Nothobranchius furzeri: one gene and its partner. The protein of the gene in region 1 purifies or fractionates together with the protein of each later gene. This does not show direct contact. Links are inferred from orthologs where the notes say so. Each region holds a gene or a part of one and is shown in the gene's direction. Other genes may lie near its edges.

The links.
Region 2: the proteins of si:ch211-140b10.6 (region 1) and uri1 purify together in Homo sapiens (affinity purification with mass spectrometry; 4 studies listed by BioGRID and IntAct, with this or other methods). This does not show direct contact. The link is inferred for Nothobranchius furzeri from reciprocal best matches to the Homo sapiens genes POLR1D and URI1.

Annotation. Positions count from the first base shown.
Region 1 is NC_091747.1:51,106,082-51,109,953, forward strand, and holds si:ch211-140b10.6 (protein POLR1D), read left to right. Parts: upstream 1-1,428; 5' UTR 1,429-1,573; coding exon 1,574-1,599; intron 1,600-1,930; coding exon 1,931-2,005; intron 2,006-2,441; coding exon 2,442-2,793; 3' UTR 2,794-3,289; downstream 3,290-3,872.
Region 2 is NC_091744.1:78,620,925-78,624,066, reverse strand, and holds part of uri1 (unconventional prefoldin RPB5 interactor 1), read left to right. Parts: intron 1-2,084; coding exon 2,085-2,163; intron 2,164-2,288; coding exon 2,289-2,424; intron 2,425-3,142. UniProt on the Homo sapiens protein: Involved in gene transcription regulation. Acts as a transcriptional repressor in concert with the corepressor UXT to regulate androgen receptor (AR) transcription.

The DNA of each region.
Region 1 (3,872 bases):
GATGGATGTTTTACCTTCTTCCGGCGGCTCCTCCGCGCCGTCCACTCGGGCCCCAAAGCGGGGAGCAATTATCAGCTGCGGGGCGTCGATCACGCATTCGCCGCAACCGACGGAGAGCTCCGCAAGCCCGCAAGAAAACGCCCCCGTACCGTTGGCGCCGCTGATCCCGCCCACCGCTGCCAATCAAAAGGTGATGGGAGGAGTCTACGGAGCTGAGTTTAGAGGTGGCTTACACCGACCGCCTGTTCAAAAACAGGATCAGAACAAAAATTAGAATAGAATAGAATAGAATAGAATAGAATAGAATAGAATAGAATAGAATAGAATAGAAAAAAACAGAACAAATATATACTTAATTATCTGCCTCAAAAGTATTCTTACAGTGCTGGGTGAAGTGTATTACCCACAAGTCATTGCTGCAGGAGAAAGGGTTCAAGTTCCTTTTCTGAATATTTTCTAATGGAATGAGTTAGTTTTGGGACAATCAGTTGATGCTCTGAATGTTTTAGACAAAGCAGCAATTAATTAAAATTTATTTCAAATAATGGGTTGTTTGTTTAAAAGTTGTTAATAAAGGCTTTTGAAAAAGTATCACAGGACCAGCATCTCGGCATGCGTTGCGTTTCATGACGCAATGCTCCCTGTCTCACTTCAGCAATTATTTGCACAGTTGTAGTCCACGCACTCGAAGCCTTACTGCACACTTTCTCCAAGTGCACTTTGCTGAAGACTGCAGGGCGCAATGCGAGTATTGGCACTGGGCCTGCTTGTGATGTCACAATTGGGGACAATTTCAAATAGCTTGTTTTAGGCACAACATTTCTACAACCACACATTGGCATGTTTGGAGCGTTTATAGAGGCAGAGTGCACATGGCGGCACAAAAAGGATGCAAAAGGCATAATATGTCTTCTTTAAGAAGATTACTTCTAAATAAAAATGTTTGTTATTGTCCTTTAATGTATCACAATCTAGATTACTAAAATATCTTGCTTGATGATATTCTGTAACTATCACTTTACTTTTGATTAAGCCATTGTATGTATTTAAATTATTTTTACAATTTACCAAAGAATTAAGTTGGCTTAGTTCCCAATGGAAAATGTTTAATCAAATAAAAAATGTACAAGTTTAAATGTCACATTTTACGTTTCGATTTGAGTATAAATCCTTTTTTTTAACAAAGTGTGTTTATATATTTGTTTGATTCTATGTTTGTTTTAAAGTTATTTGTGGCCAAATGTTGCTAAAACAATCAGCTGTAAATGTTTTTCCAGGGGTGCCCCATAACTTATTGAACTTTTAAAAATATCAATTATTTTAATTAAAAAAGATCAATACATAATACACAAACATATCTACTTGTAAATAAAAAATGTAGTTTGGTTTCATAACTTATTTTCAACATGATTTTGCAACTGAACAGGCATTGCTCCGGGCAGCTAAAAACAGGGTCCGCGATTGAAGGACCTCTCGGCGAAGTGAACAAGAAATGCCTCGTAAATTAACGTAAATTTATAGGTTTTATTAGGTTTTTATTTATTTGTAAGAGTTTTTGTGTGATTAAGACGCAATGGCGGAAGAAAATGAGCTAGAAAAGTGAGTAAATGTATCTTTATTAACTTCCGTCTGAACACATTTGCAGACATTTTCCCTCTAAAATGTAACGCTGCGGAAAAACAGTCTGTTAGTAGTTCTGATCTGAGTTGTTTACTGTATTTAAAGTTGACTTGTTGACTCTAGCTGCCTGTTGTGTGTAGTTTCAGGTCGGCATAAGTAGCGAGTCCAATCTGGTGATGAGACTCATTTCGGGTCAAACAAGGACACGTCCGCTTTACTTTCATCTTATATTTCTTGTACATCTGCTCAGAATTTCTGTCCTGTTTGTCTCATGACTCATTCTCCTGGTTCTGGGTCCGGTTCCGTCTAGGCGCGCCGTGGAGGAGCTCCTGAGGGAGACTGACAGAGCCCGGGTGAGAGCAGAGACCATGGGTCCTGCAGGATGGTGAGCTCTGAAATATCTCTGACCCTCTCATGTGGATTGGCTTTCTTTCTTTTCTTTTTTCTTTTTGGATAATTACTTAGTGTCTAGTATTATTTTAAATATTAGATTATTTTGCTCATGTTCTCATTAAACCATCTGAACACACCACGTGTCTTCCTAAAAATGTTAGTTTTGCACTAAAAGTTATCTTATCTGTTGGTATTTTAATTTGAGGTCTTATATCATATATATACATTAAAGGTTTTTTTGGGGCATTTCAATCGTATGTGTGAAAATTTCTTATTTAGCCTCTTTATTCTATAGTTAAAGGGATAAAACACCCACAAAAGTCATGTTGCTGAAGTCTGATTGAATCTGTGAAATTAAATTTCTTCTTTCGGCATCAACTGCTGGATTTTTCTGGATCTGTGTCTGATGTTTGTGGATTTTTCTCCAGGTTGAAGTGTCCTCTACAGAGCACCAACAAACGCTTCTTACTCAACACCCTGCGCTCCACGGGCCTGCACCGGCGCACAGAGGAACCCCAAGCCAAATGTTCCTCCACAAGAGGACGCCTTCGGAGCGAGTCCCCGGACAGACAGCGTGACCGCAGCAGAACGCCTCCGCCTGATCACAGGAATACTGGCGGCCCCTCGGATCATAAACGTCCTCACATGGACCGCCGCACAAGTCGAGATAAGAGGCCGGACAGAGATAAGGACAGACGCAGCAGACACCAAGACGACAGAGACCGGAAACATGCCGATGGACAGAAAAGAGACAAAAAAAGACGGATTCAGACTTCATGAATGGACCGGCTTTGTTTTTAGTCTCAGGAGCTCATAACCGACTGAGAGGTGCTGCTGTTTGCTTTGTGTTTAAAAGAGAAAAACTTTATTTAAAATATCATTTTACAGAGAAATAGAGTGAGTTTTGTCTCTTTGGACGTACTGGTAGATTATTTTCTTTTTTCCCAATAAAATGCAACAGAATGAGGTCAAACAGTCTCTCTCGTGACTCATGATGAGGTGTAACCGTGTTCGTCACAGGAGGGGGACCTAATCTCTATTATAACGCCATTACTATTCATCACGTGTCATGATGTTTACATAGGCCACGCTGCTGTCGCCACAGAGTAAGCATGTTTTATCATTTTTTGACATGCCGTCAAAAACTGGTTTGTTACTCAATGAAAAAGCTAAAAAACATTTCATTTATTTTGTTTCAGGAACAATCTGTTGATTTTGTGTGATTGTCCTCACTTTGAGATGGCAGATGGCCATTAAATCTTTCCATTTTTTCTGACTCCACTGTCTTTTATTATTTCTACAACTTTACAGGGACGAAAGTGTCTGATTCTGATTGCCTCCCTTCTTAACGGGCAACACGCCTCATAAATCACATATGGAACAGCCTGGGTTAACAATTTCCTTCCTCTTTACAACAATGATCAAATATAAAGGCCATTAGGCCATATTGCAGGGGGGTGTTTTGCATAGAAATGGCTCACCTGGACTTTATTGCACCGTTGAGTGCTGCCATTAAGATTCATTGGAAAGTGCTATAATTGCTTTTGAAGATCTGAGTGCAAATAGTCTATCGAAGCTGCGCAGACTATCAAAATAAAAGCCGGCTCGTCCCGCGTGACAAACATGCGTCTGAAAGTCGTGCGTAAAAGGCCGTGGAGACGCGCGCTCCAAACGCGCACGGCGGTTAATTGAGTTCAGTTGGTCTCTTCATGATAATTGACTAACCAAGAGGGCTATTGTTAAATGGGGCGAGGACACACAAAGATTAATGGCCAGCAAACACGAGGAGAGTGCAGCAGAGTTGTGTTTGTCGTCGCCAAGGTTTTTTTTATCGTCTGAGGCAGCGCGCGCAAAAATGG
Region 2 (3,142 bases), on another chromosome or scaffold:
AGGTCGGATGGCGGCTCACGTTTCATGAGCAGGCTGAGCTGATTTGCAGCTTCAAGTATTAAATGATGGTAGTCAGTTAAAAAGCAGTTCTGTTTGCATTAAAGATTTATTTTCGATAAATCTCAGATCCAAACCATCTAGACCTGGCCTAGTGAACTAGACCAAATTCTTGCTTTGCAAATAATACATTTATTTAGTCTGGCTTGCCAGGCTAATCTAGACCAGCAGAGCCACACAAGTGATCCCTCCTGATGAAGAATAAAGCCTCTTTGCACTAACTAGGGCTGGGCGATACGGCCTAAAATCATTACCCCGATTTACCTAGGATTTCACCGAGTGGCGACGCCAAGGGGGCGCTATAGCTACCCCTGGATTAGTCATTGCACCCCCAAGTAAATATTAGATTTTATTCTTTACAATTTAATTTTAATTTAACGTGTGGATGTGATAATATTTAACATACAAAACAAAAATAATCAGTAAATTACCATATAGATAGTAAAAACTTAAACCAAAACAGGAAATTGGTGTTAACCTTTGACCTCATTTTCCCCCTGCAAATGAGTGAAAGGTAGAGCTAGTGGTAAAATGGATCGGTTTTTGTTGCCCACGTTTCCACGGGTTCAGTCAGAAACGAATGAATCTTTGGAAGTGATCTCAGACCCACAAAAACCTACGGGTCTGGATGAAGAGAGTCAACCCTCAACCGCCGCAGCAGTCGAGGGTTTTGTCGCTGGAAATGCTAACGCTAACGTTAGCTAACCTTGCAACACTAAAGATTGTTTTCTGTGTGGCTGTATGCGTTTATGATTTCATGGAAAAGTTAGTGATTGTTCATATGTTTATGAAGTATATTAATGATTGTTTCAGGTGTTGTTGAGGTTTTGTGCATGCATGTGTATCTGCTAGTGTTGAAGGTGTTTTAGAGAACAATAGGTACGCATGACCACTTCCTTCATAGCACCCTCAATAAAAAGACTAGCTCCTTCATAACACCTGCAGAAAAAAAATTCCGGAGCCACCACTGTTTTCACCTGGATGACAGGAACTACACATATGCTCTGAAACAGACGTTGTCCACTAGGTGGAGCTGTATTACATATGTGACTTAAGGTGGTACGTCTTCTTAAAAGGGGCATGAATGTTGCCAACCTGCACACATATTATCTTTTTTATTATCAGATGTGTTGACACGGGAAAAACAAAACAACAACATAAGTGTCAGAAATTTAAATAACAACACATTTTCGATTTATTGCCCAGCCCTAGTACAAACCCATTTAGACTCCAGTTTCTGCTTCCCTGCAAAAATTTTAGATTTATTTAACTTCTAAGGTTTATTCAAGTCCGTACATGTTTCTTTAGTGTGGCACTAAAAGAGAGTCGGTAGTTATAGGTTGATATTTAAAAAGTATTTAAAAAATGACATAAAAGAATCAAATTCATTAAACATTTAAACATGTATCAAGTCAAGGAATTATGAAGATGCTATTTAAGGTTTGTGTTTGTTTAAGTCTAAACAGGAATAAAGATGAATCTGTTCGAGTTCACATGCATTAATAATTTAGTTATTTGTAAATCGGGGCAGAAAATGTAAAATTATTCTTCCTTCTGCCCCCAGTTCATTTAAATTGTATGATATTAATGTTTATGTTTGTATTTTGTTTTATTGTATTTTACTTAATCCATTTGAATTAAATTAAATAAAACATTAAAAGACCCTAATAAAACAACTATCACCCCCTAGTGGTAACAATGTGCATTTAAAAATGGTCAAATTAGCTGTTTTAATCATTCCCAACATTTGCCAGATTTCATTTGAGTAGAAAAAACAACAATTAACAAAAGGGGATTTTATTGGGCCTTTCCATCATCCGTGTCTTCATTCACTCTCCATATAAATTCTTATAATCAAATAATTAAACATGGTCTTTTGAGGTTGCACCAGTTTCTTCCTCTGCTATTAAACAGGAAATGTGTCACTTTCGACTTTTCTTCACTTATTTTAACCCAACCAGCTGAATTATGGAGCGTAAGGAGAGGCTGGTTAATTCCAACAGTGAAAAGGTTTATGTGACTTGCAGGAAGAAGGTGTCTGGTGACTACGAGGCTCTGAGTGATCGCCTCCAAACTCTCCCAGATCAACTCTCTTATGACATCATGGTGCGTTGACCTGCTTTAAAATCGCACGAACTGACCCAAAAAACTGGAAATTTAAACTTTTTTACGTCCGCTCTCTCCCACCTGCTTCCGTTGACCCATTTTTTTCTGCTCTTTTGTTTCTGCAGGTGCCATTTGGCCCTCTGGCCTTCATGCCCGGGAAGCTGGTGCACACCAACGAGGTCACGGTGCTGCTGGGTGACAACTGGTTCGCTAAGTGTGCCGCCAAGCAAGCCCAAAAACTTGTCGATCACAGGATGAAGCGTGAGTGTGGCGTCCCGTCCACTTTCACTGCACAATTGTCTTAATTGTTCGATGCCGGCGCTCGTCCAGCAGAGGGCGGTGCTGCATCACAACCGGAGAAACTGGAAGGCCAAACTTAGTGATGGGATTTACAAGTTTGACACAAAGCTGATTTTCTGCAACAGCGACACAAAAAGCTGCGTGCTAGGAGCAAGATGGATGTTTCGCACAAGTGGTTTAAAGGCTGGAAGCCCGTTGCGGCCCTCTGGTACTCCACTACCATCGCTGCCTCTGTTGTGAACATTTTAAACAGCAGTTGAGCTCGGTTCCTGTCTCGTGTCGCTTGAACGTGCGTTGTGTGCGGCGTTTGTGTTTTCTTTGCTGATCTTTCTGCGTTCACAAACCTCACATCCAGTCGGATAGACCCAAGCTCCGATCGCTGATGTGAACATTATTAGAATGTTTAGTGAAGCAGAAATGGGCTGCCACGGCCCATCCAAAGCCCCCCCCCCACGTCTCCTGACCCTCCCCACCCTGCTATTACAGAGCTAAGTGCTGTAATACAAACATAGCTAGCTGAAATGTGTCAGACAGCGGCTGAGTTGTCAGGCCTTCTGTGTTTGACCTTTCCTCACTTCCAGTTGATGCACTGACTGGAGGGGCTCCCGATCACCATGGAAACAAGGGCCCTCTGCTGCTATTAGTGAAAGGGCTTAATTGTTGTGAAGATTTAATGATC